Linked DNA regions of Mus musculus. The protein of the gene in region 2 binds, or shares a complex with, the protein of the main gene of each other region. Links are inferred from orthologs where the notes say so. Each region holds a gene or a part of one and is shown on either strand. Other genes may lie near its edges.

What was found.
Region 1: Snrnp200 (region 2) and Ppil2 share a complex: the UniProt entries of both Homo sapiens proteins name them as parts of the minor spliceosome. The link is inferred for Mus musculus from reciprocal best matches to the Homo sapiens genes SNRNP200 and PPIL2.
Region 3: Snrnp200 (region 2) and Lsm4 share a complex: the UniProt entries of both Homo sapiens proteins name them as parts of the U4/U6-U5 tri-snRNP complex. The link is inferred for Mus musculus from reciprocal best matches to the Homo sapiens genes SNRNP200 and LSM4.

The regions. Positions count from the first base shown.
Region 1 is NC_000082.6:17,108,012-17,113,461, forward strand, and holds the start of Ppil2 (RING-type E3 ubiquitin-protein ligase PPIL2), read right to left. Parts: upstream 3,242-5,450; 5' UTR 3,164-3,241; coding exon 3,132-3,163; intron 1,684-3,131; coding exon 1,634-1,683; intron 1-1,633. Other genes in the region: 2610318N02Rik (uncharacterized protein LOC70458), read right to left, coding at 5,441-5,450. UniProt on the Homo sapiens protein: Has a ubiquitin-protein ligase activity acting as an E3 ubiquitin protein ligase or as an ubiquitin-ubiquitin ligase promoting elongation of ubiquitin chains on substrates.
Region 2 is NC_000068.7:127,220,832-127,225,749, forward strand, and holds part of Snrnp200 (U5 small nuclear ribonucleoprotein 200 kDa helicase), read left to right. Parts: intron 1-913; coding exon 914-1,107; intron 1,108-1,299; coding exon 1,300-1,423; intron 1,424-3,749; coding exon 3,750-3,899; intron 3,900-4,251; coding exon 4,252-4,362; intron 4,363-4,918. UniProt on the Homo sapiens protein: Catalyzes the ATP-dependent unwinding of U4/U6 RNA duplices, an essential step in the assembly of a catalytically active spliceosome. Plays a role in pre-mRNA splicing as a core component of precatalytic, catalytic and postcatalytic spliceosomal complexes.
Region 3 is NC_000074.6:70,670,849-70,676,471, forward strand, and holds the start of Lsm4 (U6 snRNA-associated Sm-like protein LSm4), read left to right. Parts: upstream 1-2,382; 5' UTR 2,383-2,606; coding exon 2,607-2,609; intron 2,610-5,623. UniProt on the Homo sapiens protein: Plays a role in pre-mRNA splicing as component of the U4/U6-U5 tri-snRNP complex that is involved in spliceosome assembly, and as component of the precatalytic spliceosome (spliceosome B complex).

The DNA.
Region 1 (5,450 bases), on a different chromosome or scaffold from region 2:
AAAATGGCTCAGTGGCTCAGTGTACTTCACTGGAGGTAGAGACGGAAGCAACTTACTGACAAGCCAGTCTAGCCCATCATTGAGCTCTAGGTTTAGTGACAGACTCTTGTCTCAACACAAGATGAGCTGAGAAGTGAAACACACCTTTAATCCTAGCAGTTGGAGGCAGAGGCAGGTAAATTTCTATGAGTTCAAGACCAGCTCAATCTACATAGTGAGTTCCAGGGCAGCCAAGGCCACATGGAGATCCTGTTTTGAAAACAAACAAGGAGCTGGAGAAATAGCTCAGAGGTTAAGAGCACTTGATGCTATTGCAGAAGACCAGAGCTTCGTTCCCAGCACCCACTCTCCTCTGGACTCCAGGGTACCCACATTCATGTGCATGTACTCACGTAGACAAATACACACACACACATACATACATACATACATATAAGTCTTAAAAAATAGTATGAAAACAGATTTTTTAAGATGGATTATCAATGAGGACAACACACAATGACCTCTAGTCTACAAACACATGCAGGGCCTTTTTGTTGTTGTTTGCTTTTTTTTTTTTTTTTTTTTTTTTAGATTTATTTATTATATGTAAGTACACTATAGCTGTCTTCAGACACTCCAGAAGAGGGAGTCAGATCTCATTATGGATGGTTGTGAGCCACCATGTGGTTGCTGGGATTTGAACTCTGGACCTTTGGAAGAGCAGTCAGGTGCTCTTACCCACTGAGCCATCTCTCCAGCCCTGTTGTTTGCTTTTTTGAGATGGTACTTCTCTGTATAGCTCTGGCTGTCCAGGAATTAAAAGCATGCACCACTATACCTGGATTCACATAGCATCTTTTGATATTATCAAATCACAAATCAATTCCAGCACTGGTGAGGCAGAGGAAGAAAGATCTTGAGTTCAAGACCAGCTTGAGCTACATAATAAGACTATCTTTAAAAGAGAAAAAAATATATATATATTTATGGGGCTGGAGATAACAGTTACGAGCACTGGCTGCTATTCCAGAGGACCCATGTTCCCAACACCCACAGGGCAGCTGACAGCCATCTGTAACTCTAGTTCCAGGGGATCTAACACCCTCACACAAACATACATGCAGGCAAAACACCAATGCACATAAAATAAATCCTTTTTTCTACAGCCTTGGCAACTTTGGATATTAACCTTCCTTTTTTCCTCCTATAAAGAATAAGGTTGCTGGGCAGTGGCAGTGCACGCCTTTAATCCCAGCACTTGGGAAGCAGAGGCAGGCGGATTCTGACTTTGAGGGCAGCCTGGTCTACAGACAGAGTGAGTTCCAGGACATCCAAGGCTACACAGAGAAATTCTGCCTCAAAAAAAAACAAAAAAAAACAAAAAAACAAAAAACAAAAAAGAAAGAAAGAAAGAAAGAAAGAAAGAAAGAAAGAAAGAAGGCTATAGCACTTCCTAAGGAAAAGGCCTGAACTTGAAAGAGTTATATTTTTAAGTATTCTCCTCTAAGATGGAAGTATACTGTACTATGTTGAGTATATGTCCTCTTTTTATCAACTATGGACCGTCTCGTTATCTACTATAATGTCAGTGTTCTGGATAGCTCTGGATCACAGGAGACAGCATTCTTCAGGACCACCAGCATCCCCTTACCTGGCTTCCTGCCACCATAGAAATGAGTGTACTCAGCACAAGTGATATACCTGAGGAAGACAGAGCATGTGTTACTGGGTCCTGCCACGGACAGGACAGAAGCTGTAAAAGTAACTTATGACAGAACGCCCACTCACTTGTCAAATCACATTAAACATCTGCATTGTGTGGCACATAAGAAGGACAAAAGATGGAGAGATAAAGAAACATCAACAGCACCTTGTCCAGAAGGAAATGAACTGGACTTATAGACTATCTGACAGGAAGAGCTAGGCACACAAAGCTCTGGGGAAGCCCTTTACAGGAATAACACTTACTGAGGCTGGAACAGGACAAGCTGAATCTGTTCCAGAAAGGAGACAGCAGAGGAAGAGTGTGATGAGGTACGTAGCAGCAGAAAAAGACACAGAAGCAAGGACAGCGGCCGAGTCAAAAATGAGTCAAAGATCAAGGAGAGTACTCTCTATTTGCCTAAGTGTGATGGGAAGCTGGTGGGTGATTTTGAGCAGGACCCAGACATGATCTAACATAGCTCCAGTTGCTCTGTGCGGTTGTTCTTCTGTTAGGATGAGAATTGTCTTCAGTCTATATATAGTAAATCAGGGACCCACTATGTAACCACTGAGCTAGGATAAGAAACGGCAGGCTTAGGTGTGAAAATTATCAAGTTCCCTTTTAGCATACTAGTTTTGAAAAAGCTGTAAGTTTTCCAAGTGGAGAACTGAGTGAAAGCTGCTGACTTAGTGCAAGAGACTCTTTGAACAGATCCACCACAGGGATGAAGGAAACACCCCCGAGGTCTGGGACAAGGGGAGGGGAAGCCCAGCAAAGAGGAATGAAATAGAGATCATTCGCAGATTAAATTACTAAGCGCCAAGCCTTTAATCCTAGCACTCGGGAGGCAGAGGCAAGGGGATTTCTGAGTTCGAGGCCAGCCTGATCTACAAAGTGAGTTCCAGGACAGCCAGGGCTACACAGAGAAACCCTATCTTGAAAAACAAAAACAAAAACAAAAACAAACAAAAAAAACTACTAAGCGCATGTAAGATCTCACTAAAGGCTACTTTTGGAAAGGGAAGAAGCCCAAGGACTGAAAAGCTGGATACTAGATCTGGCAATACAGAAGTCAAAGATATCCTTGCAAGCAGCTAGGGGCGGGGAGCATCTGAAGAGACAACAGAAAACAGAAAGTACAGCAGCAGCAAATGGGAGGGGAACATGGAGCACGACCCGCCTATCTTCAACTTGAAGGCTGTCGCCTGTGTGTAGGCTCTCAGACTAGAGCCAGGACGAAGCGGACAACCAACTCAGGGGCAAAACTCGTTCGCAGAAAGGCTAGGGGTAGGGAAATCCCGGAAGTTAGTTAGTCCGGCGGTAGAACGCCCTGGCCCGCGTAGGCTGCACTGAGGGACGAGACCGCGCCTGTGAGAGCTGAGGCTTTCAGATGATAGCCTTCAGCACGGCGACGAGCTGAGACGAGAGACGCGACCCAACTTACATCTTGTCCTTCTGGTGCTGTCGCTTCCCCATGGTGGCAACAAACCGAAGAGACCACAGCAGACACTGACTATGGCGCCTCCGCTTTCTCAACTACTTCCGGAGATCGACGCACTGGATCCCGGAAGTTGGAAGAAAGCATTCTGGGAATTGTGGTTTCCAGGTGTCCAGGTGCTGGGTGCAGGCACCGTGCTAGGCTGAAGCTTGCTAACTTTGAGTAGAATCCACTTTTCCTGTCTCCCACCATACTGCGTTGCCTCCCCCAAGCCCTCAAAAACTTTTCTATGCACTGTCTGGCTACTTGTTCAGTCCATGCTATGCTAGGCAGACTCACTCAGACTCACCTCCTTTGTATCTAAAGATCTTCAACCTTTTTCACCTTCTCTAAAGCCATGTCCATGTGTATACTCAACTCTTCTCTCGTTCGGTCCCCACGCCCTTCAGGCCCATCAGCTGGCAGATGACCAAGCCCTCTCTGCTCCTTCTGTGGCCAGATCTTTGGTCTGGGTCTCATGTGCCGGGAGAATGGGTCCCAAGTCTCCTTTTTTTTTTTTTTTTTTGGTATTTCGAAACAGGGTTTCTCTGTGTAGCCCTGGCTGTCCTGGAACTCACTCTGTAGACCAGGCTGGCCTCGAACTCAGAAATCCGCCTGCCTCTGCCTCCCGAGTGCTGGGACTAGAGGAGTGTGCCACCATGCCCGGCCCCAAGTTTCCTTTTTAAAATTGTGTGTGTGGTTAAATAGTGGCCATGCCACAAGTGTAGAGCTCAGAGGACAAGTGAGGAGTTGGTTCTCTTTGCCAGACTTGCACAGCTCTTATTTGTTAAGGCATCTCTCCACCCTAAGCTGGGTTTTTGTTTGTTTTTGTTTTTTGAGACAGGGTTTCTCTGTGTAGCCCTGGCTGTCCTGGTGCTCACTCTATAGATCAGGCTGGCCTGGAACTCAGAAATCCACTGCCTCTGCCTCCCAAGTGCTGGGATTAAAGGTGTGTGCCACCACCGCCTGGCTGATCAAAGAATTCTTAATTTCCTTGTTCCAAATCTCCACTTTGATGCTAAATGGTATGTTCCATACCCTAACCCTAACCTCCTGATAAGATCTTCAACCAAATAATTTTAAGATGTCTTGTCAAATTCCTACATAAACATAAAACATTAGAAACCCCCTAGCCTTGCAGTTTGGGGGATATTAAAAAAAAAAATTCTCCTTTGAGACTATGCTCTCAAATCCTACTTTAGGGAGATAACCCTGTCTAACTGAAAATGCAACCAAAAAATCTGGGTCACTGGTCTGATTCTCATTTGGCAGGATTAACAAGGACCACCATCCACCCAGTTAGCCAAAGGCAGTCATCCTGTCAGCTTCTTACTTCATAACTTCTGCCTTCCAAATAAATCTTACCTCAAAAGATCTTTTAGCCCAGTATGGTGGTGTACACTTGGGAGGCAGAAGCAAGCAGATCTCTATGAGTCTGAGGCCAGCCTGGTCTACAGTGAGTAGAGAAACCATGTCTCAAAAGCAAATCAAAACTAAACAAAACTACCAGTACTTGGGAGGCAGAGGCTGGTAAGTTCTGTAAGTTCAAGTCCTCCTAGTCTACATATTGAGTTACAGGTCAACCAAGAATATACAGTGAGACCAAAACAAAACAAAACAAAAAAACACTTTCTTGGCCACCCCACTCACCTCTCTCATAGTTTATCATAATTTATAATTATATAGTAATTTTGCTTATGTTCTGATTTTTATTATCTATAGTCCCAAGTGAGGTATGATCAACCATGACTCAATATGTATATCCACTAATGTCCAGTAATGATTGACATCTTACATGGAGAAAGATTCTAAGGCCAGCATATGAGGTGACAATGAGAATCACAGTTTTGAAACTCGGGCAAGTAACAAGCTGTAAACTGACTGACCCACTCATTTCTCCTCTGGGTAGAAACACCTATCAAACTAGGCCTGTGTTTGGAGATTACATGCAGGAACAATATAGTGCACTTGCAACTCAAGGAAAGTGAAGCCCTAAGGGGTCTGAACCACTAAAGGGAAGAACGGGATTTCCCACCCCACTCTCTCAAGCACAACAGAATTGCTTGTTACAGTGCACGTGAGGGGCCATTGCACGTGTGATCCAAACACACACTGCCCATACTTGAGGGGTGAGGTTTGAAATAGGGTTTTTCTATAGAGTCCAGGCTATCCTTAAACTCTCTCCGTAGTCCAGGCGAAAGCAGAGAGGACATACAACAAGCTCAACACCAGGATGAACTTTATTCAGTCCTGGGGCATGGTCTGTTGGGAAGAGATTACTGGCTC
Region 2 (4,918 bases):
TCAAGCTCAAGCCGTCAGGGTTGGCAGCCAAGTCCCTTTACTCTTTGAGCAGTCTCCCTGGCCTCCAGCTTGATTCTTTAAGCTGTCTAAGAAAGCAGGAAAGTAGTTCATAGTCTGTGTTCAAAGTGGAAGTTGGCAAAACTATAGCTATAAGTTTTTCTTTTAATGAACACAGTTATATAGATTGGTTTATGCACTTCTTATAGCTATTATTGTCCTGCTGTGGCTGTGGCAGAACTGAGTTGTTTTTTTGTTTTTTTAAGATTTATTTATTATCATAAGTACGCTGTAGCTGTCTTCAGATGTACCAGAAAAGGGTATCATCAGATCTCAGTATGGGTGGTTGTGAGCCACCATGTGGTTGCTGAGATTTGAACTCAGTACCTTTGGAAGAGCAGACAGTGGTCTTAACTGCTGAGCCATCTTGACAGCCCAGAACTGAGTATTTTTTAACAAGGGTTACATGGCTCACTAGCCTACAGTATTGCGTGTGTGGTACCAGATGTTCAGCCCTTGAAGAAAAGGTTGCTCACCTCTTTTTTAGAGCCTTGCTCTCTGACAGCCGCTCCTACGGGTGCTGAGTCCCTGGCCTGCCCACAGTATCCGCAGTTCTCCCAGTGCTTACTGTATCTCAGAAGCACTGCTGTTGGCGGTGTAAACTTACTGTGCGTAAAGCCCACAAGGGAAGGCTTCTTTGCTCTAACCTGGTCAGAACCGTCATGTATTTGTAAGGAGATTTGTGGTATCATCAAAGGACTCACTCACAAGTGTTAAACAGTCCACACTCAGTGTATATTTCTACTAAAAGCTGTCTTTGTTCTTTAGGATTCCTTGGCTTAAGGGTCCCTCTCTTGTCTTTACTCGGCATGTTAAGACTGTATACTTGTACAGTTTGCATCTTTCTGTTCTTTAGGATGAGATCCATCTTCTACATGATGACAGAGGTCCTGTCTTAGAAGCTTTGGTGGCCAGGGCCATCCGAAACATTGAGATGACCCAAGAAGATGTCCGACTCATTGGTCTCAGTGCTACCCTCCCCAACTATGAAGATGTGGCCACCTTTCTGCGAGTCGACCCTGCTAAGGGCCTCTTCTACTTTGATAACAGGTATAAAAAGAAACTGGAAACTTGTTACCCAGGCAGTCTTCCTGTTCCCTACTCTTCTCTAAGGAGCATACTATTGAGTTTTAGGGTTCCTGTGTGTATTTTAGAAAGCATTGTTTCTAGGTCAATGGAAAGTAACTTCTCTCACAGTGTTCTCTGCCAGAAATCTCATTTGTATAACTGTTGAACTTCTAGCTTCCGCCCCGTGCCTCTGGAACAAACATATGTGGGCATCACAGAGAAAAAAGCTATCAAACGTTTCCAGATCATGAATGAAATAGTCTATGAGAAAATCATGGAACATGCTGGAAAAAATCAGGTTTGTGGATGGTTCTTGAACCTTTTCCTTTTTTTTTTTTGGTTTTTCGAGACAGGGTTTCTCTGTGTAGCCCTGGCTGTCCTGGAACTCACTCTCTCACTCTGTAGACCAGGCTGGCCTTGAACTCAGAAATCCACCTGCCTCTGCCTCTCAAGTGCTGGGATTAAAGGTGTGCTCCACCACGCCCAGCTCCTTTTCCATTTTTAACTTAAACTAATAGACAAGGTAATAGCATGACTCACCAGTGATCAGAAATAATATGAGTTACTATATTACTACAGCTGCTTTAAAAGATGGTCAGGGTCTGGAGAGATGGCTCAGTGGTTAAGAGCACTGACTGCTCTTCCAAAGGTCCTGAGTTCAAATCCCAGCAAACCACATGGTGGCTCATAACCATCCATAATGAGATCTGATGCCCTCTTGTGGTGTGTCTGAAGACAGCTACAGTGTACTTACATATAGTAAATAAATAAATAAATAAATAAACAAACCTTAAAAAAAAGAAGAAGAAGAAAATGGTCAGGAGCTAGGAGAGTCAGCACATGCCTCTAATACCATAGCTTAGGTTGCTGAGGCAGGAGGACCTCAAGCCAGCTGGAGGCCAGTTTGGATTATACAATGGTACCCCCCTACCCCTATTCCCCTCATGGTCCCACTCCCCTCCCCCCCAAAAAAAATCCAAAAAATGACTGGGGACTTGGAATGGAACTCAGTGGTAGAACATATACATAGCATGTTGACCCCGGTTCATTGCATTTTCCATCACTGCATAAATGGGAGATGGAATACTGTCAACAATCACTCATAAACTGGCCAGTTTATGGGGTAGATAGATGGCTCAGTGGTTAAGAGCATTGTCTACTCACAAAGGACAATTGAAGCTCAGACCAGTCTATCAACTCTAGATCTGACCTCTCCTAGCCTCTGTGAACATCAGGCATATATATGTTGTATGGACATATGCGCATATAAAACATTCATTTCATAAAGTAAATAAAAATTAACAATAACTAAATAAACTTATAACTTAGAAGAATTGGATCATTTCCTGAAAACAACTATCACTATAGCCTAGATGAAAGATAATTTGAATAGTCCTGTGATCGTAAATGATAACTTCATAGTTGATACTATCCTCCCCCAAATTGGTGGAACTAGAAAAACCAGTCTGTCTATAAGATAGCAAAACTGTAGCTGAAAATTATTAGAACCTAGTGAAATCAGGCCAGTGAGATGGCTCTGCAGGTAACGGCGCTTGCCCCCAAGACTGGTGACCTGAGTTTGATCCCCAGAACATAATTGGTGATGGAGAGAGTTGATCACTACTCTGACACACAAAATAATTTTTTTAAGATTTATTTATTATATGTAAGTAAACTGTAGCTGTCTTCAGACACACCAGAAGAGGGCATCTGATCTCATTACAGATGGTTGTGAGCCACCATGTGGTTACTGGGATTTGAACTCAGGACCTCCAGAAGAGCAGTCAATGCTCTTAACCAGAAAAAGAAATGCATAGCTTCTTACTGCCTGCCTTAGTTAATACTGCTAACTAGTAGTAGTGTGCCACTACTGCCCGACATATAATTTCATTCGTTCGTTTGTTCACTTATTTATTTGTTTTCTTTCTCTTTTTTTTTGAATGTTACTTTGATAACAGTTTTTAGTTAGCAGTATTAAATAAGGTAGGCAGTAAGAAGCTATGCATTTTTTTTTTCTGATAAAAAGCACAGGAGTTTATATGACAGGGTAGGACTTCAGGACACTAGATCTCAGGAGGACTGTTTCATATAATGTGGAACTAGTTTCAAACTATTTAAATATTTTTATAAATAATGTAATAGTTTTGGTATTATTTTGAAAATACACCTTTATTTAGCTTAGACTTGCTAAGGCTCTGACCATATTCTTGATTGAGGTCTTTGAATCTCAATACACTGTGTATTTAGATTTATTGTTCAATGTAGAATTCTAGGGTTAGTTTAGTTTCTTAGCTGTGAGACTGTGCCACTATCCTTGGTACATTCCTTCCCCTGTGTGTCCTGGGCTGGGCTTAAACTCTGTGTAGCCCTACTCATAGCCTGGAATTTAGCTGTGACCTTGAGTGCAGAATTAGAGCTGGAGTTACCATGCCCAGCTTCCCTTTGGTACTGTCAGCCCTGTTAGACTTCTTTCCAAACTAGCATGTATTTTTGCCATAGACACTTTTCTAACCCATCGCTTCTGTTTCTAGTGGAGCAGCTTCTGCTTCCTGTAGCTGGTGCCCTGGTGCTCTGAGAGCAGCTGCTGAAGGTGCACCTTTTAGCTCTTGCATGATTCTTCTTAGGTGCTCGTGTTTGTCCATTCTCGAAAAGAAACTGGGAAGACAGCAAGGGCAATCCGTGACATGTGTCTGGAGAAGGACACTTTGGGTCTGTTTCTTCGCGAGGGTTCTGCCTCCACTGAAGTCCTTCGTACAGAAGCAGAGCAGTGCAAGGTAAGAAGGGACCATCTGCTTCTCTGGTGACTGGTTCCATATTGGGTAGAGTCCTTTGGGACCATATGTACTGAGTGCTTCTGTTCAGGCAGGTTAAAAGTCATTTTCTTGGGGCTAGGGAAATGACTCAGCAGATAAAGGTGCCTGTCGCCAATCCTAATGGCCTGAGTTCAATCTCTGGGACTCACATAGTAGAAGAAGAGAACTGACTTTCATACACATGCCACACACAGGCATATATACAAACCTAAGAATATAAGTGTGTTAAAAGGGACTGTGTGGTTATGGGACTTCCTTTTGGCCTTGGAGGAGTCCTAGCAGGAGGCCGGCCTCACTCTGTTTCTGTTCACAGAACTTGGAGCTGAAGGATCTTTTGCCCTATGGCTTTGCTATTCATCATGCAGGCATGACTAGAGTTGACCGAACACTTGTAGAAGATCTTTTTGCTGACAAGCATATTCAGGTGAGGAGGGGCAAACCTAGTAGAAACAGACTTGTCTGTAGCTCTGCCCTGAGAGACTTGTCTGTAGCTCTGCCCTGAGAGACTTGTCTGTAGCTCTGCCCTGAGTGTTATCTCTAACCTTTTGTTAAAAAGAGAGTCATTTATATGTATTTGTGTGTGTGTGTGTGTGTGTGTGTGTGTGTGTGTGTGTGTGTGTGTGAGACTTGAACGAGTTTATGTGCACCACATGCATGCAGATGCTCTCAGAGGCCAGAGGAGGGCACCAGATCCCTTGGAACTGAAGTTACATATTCTTGTGAGCATATGTGGGTTCTGGGACCTGAAGCCTAGTCCTCTGCAAAAGTAGTACATGTTCCAGCCACTGAGCCGGTCTCCGTCTCTAAACATTTTGAGATCTGGACCAGCTAGCCTAGCCCAGGCTGGAAGGTTGTGATAGTTATGCTCACTCTCCCCACACTTCATACACTGCATAAGAGAGGATGGATGCTTCATAGAACTCTACAGTGTAATTCACAGTGTCAGGACCACATTCTTTCCCTCTTCCAGGTTGGTAGAT
Region 3 (5,623 bases), on a different chromosome or scaffold from region 2:
GTGCTGGGATTAAAGGTGTGAGCCACCACGCCCTGTGCCCAGTTGTTCTTTATCCACAGAGTTTGGAACCTGTCCCTATCTTTTTGGAAGAACAGACACACAAGTGCACCTTCCCAGTGTGCAGCAGCCGCCCAGGCCACACTTGGAAGCTCAGCACTGGTGCTGTATCACTTGCTGGGAGCTGTAGGCACACAGAATAGAGGTATGCAGCCTGTTTATTGAGGCTGCTGCTGCTGTGGGCCTCTCCCCTGGCCATCGTGTACACAGGCCCATTTGGCCAGTCAGAAAAGGCTCCTCTGATGGTGGCTGGAGTGCAGGAAGCCAGGTCGGAGGGATGTTTCTCCACTGTGGCAATGGCTTTATTTAATGTAGGGAGCTTTGACCCTTCACCTAGGTGACTTAAGTGACTTGTCACTGAGCAGTAGCACCTCAGGTTTCAAGGCTCCCGCCCCCGCCCCCACTCTGTGTGCAGAAGCATGGGCTAGCCAAGCCTCCCTTGAGGGCTGACGGCAACTTTGCTGGAACTCACCCAGTCTTGCTGCAGGGGTCCAAGTTCCCCGTCATGGGCTGCTTCTTCCCTAGGTATCTCAGATCCTCACATCACAAACCCTTTGGTCCCCATCTCAGAGCTGGATTCTGGGGTGACAGATACTCTCTAATCTTAGACATGAGGTCAGCAGACCCATTGACATATTTCTCTTTTCCTTATTAGTGACAGAGTAAAGTAGACCCGGCTGTTGTTGAACTGTCCATGAAGTGGAGGATGGTCTTGAACCTGTGCTTCTCCAGCAGTGCCTCCACAGTGCTGAGATAGTGCCCATTCTGCTCAGGCGCTGCTCCTCAGCACTTACTGCTTTACTTTATTGTTAGCGGTGGGGGTGGGGGCGGGAGCTCAGGGCTTCTATCCCTCCCGCTGAGCTGCAGTCTTAGTGCGGGAGTCTCACTCCATCACTTAGAAGAGCCCTGGGGAGTGTGCCAAGGGAGTCTCCCGGGTCAGAGGATCCCAACAAGTGAACTCATCGCTAACATTCTGTACCAGGGCCTTTCAGCAGCTTGGTCAAACAGCTGTCCTGCTTGGGACAGCTCAGGGTGGAGCTCTGATTCCATAACCAGTAGCCAAAGAAAATAAAAATAAATAGAAGGGCTAGGAGATGGCTCCATGGGTAAAAATGCTTCCTGATGAGAAGGCTAGGCTGACTTCATGACAAGCTTCAAACTGGCAGTTAAGGAGAGGTGGCCTAAATCTGTTTCCAAGAACTGGCCAATTCCAGACAAGTCCAGGCCTCAGAAGCTGCCCCACCACCTGGCCTGAGGCAAGGACAATGGGTAAGCAACAGTTTCCAGACCTCCCCAGTAAGTTTCCAGCCCCCGCAGCCCTGCCATGGAACGTCCATAGAGATGGACCTCACAGATTAACATAGAGGTCACCTGCCCCGGAATTTCCTAATGTGCTTTAAATCAAACCTCCAAGTTAACATGGGTGTCTATTTTGGTAATTCGAGACTCCAGCATGCTCAACTTCTGCATAATAAGACACTCTTTGAGTTTTCATACTATTTGAGTCCGGAATATCATTCTTTGGCACCCCTACTGGGCAAGCATGAGAACCTGAATTTGTAGCTCAAGAAGACACATTAAACCATGGTGGTGCACACCTGCAATCCCAGCACTCACTAGGATCTCTGGAAGGTCGATACCAGCCTGGTCTACATTGTGTGTTCAAGGCCAGCTAGGGATGTACAGAGAAACACTATGTTCCTCCCAAAATGATAATGATTTTTTTTAAAGCAAGGATTAAAGCTTGATGGCCCACAGTGGCCATCCAGCAGTGGAGAAGCCGAGTCGGGGTCTAATGCAAGTTCATGATCGGCTAGCTTCAGCTGCCACAGAAGCCCATCTCAAAACAGGAAAATCCCAGAGATTTGTTTTCACTTCCTGTCGCCAGGGAACGCCAGACCTGCCGTTCGTGTTCAAAGATTCTATTTGAGTTGGTAAAGACAAAGAGATCCATAAGGGCAAGAATGGAAGGCTAGAGCTGGGCAGTGGTGGCGCACGCCTTTAATCCCAGCACTTGGTGGGCAGAGGCAGGCGGATTTCTGAGTTCGAGGCCAGCCTGGTCTAGAGTGAGTTCCAGGAACAGCCAGAGCTACACAGAGAAGCAATGTCTCGAAAACAAAACAAAACAAAACAAAGAATGAAAGGCTAGGAGCGCAAAATAGGCACCGCGCGACTCGCATGCATTAGCCAGCTTCGCCCACAGTGTGGCGCCGAATTAGGCGCCGAACCAGATCCAGGAGAGCACCTCTGCGCAGGCGCCCTTTCCCAACATACACCCCGTAGTGGGCGTAACTTGTGCTGCGGCCTTTTGCGTCGTTCTAGTGTCGCACTTTACGGCTACCTCTCAATCCCACCGTAGAAATACGGTGAGGCCGTCCGTCTTGTTCCGTAGGTACCGCCCTAGCCCGTCCCGATTGGATAGATGTCCGTTGAGCTGCTCGCTGATTGGTCATAGTTTCTGCCAGTCTTTTTCAGTCTGGGGCGCGCGGTGGGCCGCCGGTGGGAGCGCGTGTGTCTGTGCCGCGGCGGAAGTTATCGCTGCAGGGAAGATGGTGAGGGCCGCGAGGCGGAGGGGCGCGCGCAGGGTCTTCGGGCTGCTGAGAGATGGGGGAAACTGAGGCCGGAGTGACCGGTGTCCCTCCAGGGCCCCAGACGGTCACCGTTGGGGATTTATCTCTTGATGGACACGGTTTTTGCGACCGGAAGAGGGACTATGATCGTTTCCGGGGCTTGTCACCGTCATTGATAGGAAAGCTGCGTTTCCGGGAAATGGGCGGGCTTAATGGCTCACGTGGGCTTCGTTGCCCTCTTGATGCTTATCTGGTGTCTGACCTCAGCTGCCCACGCCTTTGGCTGGAAATCCAGCTCAGAGAGCGGGTTGATTCTCTCCCTGGGACACACAGCATGTCTTGCTCAGGAAGAAAGGATTTTTTTTTTCTCCTAGTTTAGGCTCAGGCCTCCTCAGTTTGGGGACTCTTAGACCTGGCATAAACAAGTAAAGGAGGCCAGGTTTCCCCCTGCTCTGTCGAGGGGCGCGTTGGCCTAAGTGAGGAGAGCCACATATTCCCATCTCCCCAGTTCTTGATGGTAGGATATTTGGTTTGTTTTTTGGTTAGGCTTTCTGATCTGAACTGACATAATCCAGGCTAACCTCAAACTCCTGATCCTCTTGCTTCAGTCACTGGAGTATGGAAAGGACACGTGTATACTCCACATTTGAGTCAGGATGTGAGGCAGGGTCTCATATAGCCCAGGCTGCCTTTGAACTCCATTTGTATACATGCATCACTGTGAACTCCTGACCCTGCCTTTACTCCAGAATGACCCTGGGTTTTGTGGTGCAGGAACTCTAGGCCTAACACATGCTAGGTAAGCACTCCCCACTGGGTGTACCCTGAGCCTTCCTGAAGGGATGGCCAGGTGCGTCCAGGACTGGACACCCACCTCATGCAGGTGCGCACAGACACTCCCATATCTCTGCGGTCAGGCTGGTACAGGAGTGTCCCAGCTGAACATTCCTGAACTCAGAGCCCTAGACTTGGTTCTTTAGCTATCTCATCTACACACTGGATCCCAGAGAGTCTGGATGATGGCTGAGAAGGAATTTCCCTTCCTGGAACTGGCTCCTCTAATGGGAGGTGCTGGGACTGGATTCCAGAACGGGTGGCTATAACACCTGCAGCTGCTCTGTGTAAAGCTATGTCTCCTCCACTCAAAAGCCTGTGACTATCCCAGCTCCAGCCTCCCTGTCTGCCCTGGCCCATTTCACTCTGAGCTTTTTCTTCCTTCATTTTGGGGAGACATTCCTAATTACTTCTTTCATTCCTCTCTCCCACTGCACACACAGTAGGGGAGTGGGGGGTTGTGGTGGCCTGTCCCTACACCACACTTTTCTTACCTGTGGCACTGGACAGGATGCACCTGTGCTGGGTGTCCCCACCCCTGCGTGTTCAGCAAGTGTTTACTGCTCCTCCCTGCTGCAGCAGAGCCCACGCCCACACTGACCTTGTGTCTAGCCAGGGAGACTGATGCTAATCACCCATAATTAGAGAGCGGCTTCAGCTGCTGAGCTGGAAACAGGCTGGCAGCCTAGGGTGGCCATTAGGGTCCTGACCACAGGAGGGGACATGCTCAGCAGGATTGGGCAGAGAGTCTAGGGAAGGGCACCCTGGGTGGTGGCTGGGGCCCTGGCAGGAGGAACGAAAGTTGAGCAGTAAGGCTGGACCTTGCCATCGCTGCCTCCAGGCTGTGCTGGGCCATAGCAGTTCCGGAAGAGCTTTGTGTGCCTCTATTCTTGTTTAGCAATGTTTGCCCTTGAGCCCTTGCTGTGCCTTGTATTTGGGAGTTTGACTATTCTATTCCTTTATTGAAACAGGATCTCATGTAGCCCAGGTTAGCCTCACACTGTAGCCAAGGATAACCATGGCTCCAACTACCTGGAGCTTAGCCATAGGATGCTATACTGTGGCTCTTTTCTGCTGTTTATTTGAGGATCAGGGTGGACACCATTGTCACTGATCACCAAGGCCACCCACCCACCCACCAGCCATTTTCACAAAAGTCATCCTCTGCCTCCTACCCTTCCAGGAAGCCTCTGCAGGAAGTGGGCTAGAGCTTCACTTCCCTGCCACTAACTCCTCCCCGCCCCTCAGCTCTTCTTGGGAAGGGCCTTGTACTGTAGGCTCCCCCAGTCCTCTCATGACCCAAAGTCCCCATGCTGGGCATGATGGCCCTGAGGATCTGGGGCTCTTGTTGTTTGTTTCTTCTGTTTTTAAAATGATTTATTTTTATTTCATGTGTTTTGCCTGCATGCATGTGTCTGTGAGTGTGTTGGATCCCCCTGGAACAGGAGTTATAGATGTGTGAGCTACCATGTGGGTGCTGGGAATTGAACCCAGGTCATCCAGAAGAGCAGCCTGTGCTCTCACCTGCTGAGCCATGTCTCCAGCCCCTCGTGTAGTTGTTTGTTTGTTTCACTGTGTAACCCAGTTGGCCTGGAACTTATAGATAATTCACCTGCCTCTGCCTCTCAGTGCAGGGATTGAATGTGTGCACTGCATGCTTGGCTGTAATTTGATTTTTGTGTATTTTGAAGACAGGTCTAATGTAGTCCAGGCTGATCTCAGACTGTAGCTGAAAATAATCTAAAATTCCTTATCCCCCTGCCTCAGCCTCCCTGGCACTGGGATGACGGGTGTAGCACAACACACCTGGCTTTATGTTGGTCTTTATGATGCTGGCTCTGGAAGGCAAAGTGTCACTAGCCTTGCTGTCACCTTGACCTCAGCCCTGGGGCTCAGGCAACCCAAGTCACCTGTTCTGGAAGCACATGGACGGGATGTGAAGCAGGCTGGTGTGCAGTCCTGTGCATTTAGAAGGCTGTGGCCAGCCTGGGCTTATGACAAGATTCTGCCTCAGAAAAGCTACCTCCAGACAGAGGACTGTGCCCCGCTTCTGTGGTTCCAGGTGACAGAAATTGTGGAGAAATGACCAAAATGGTCCGGGAGGTCCAGGTGGCTCACATCTGTAGAATGGGATGATGTGAGGTTACCTGTGACCTGAAGAC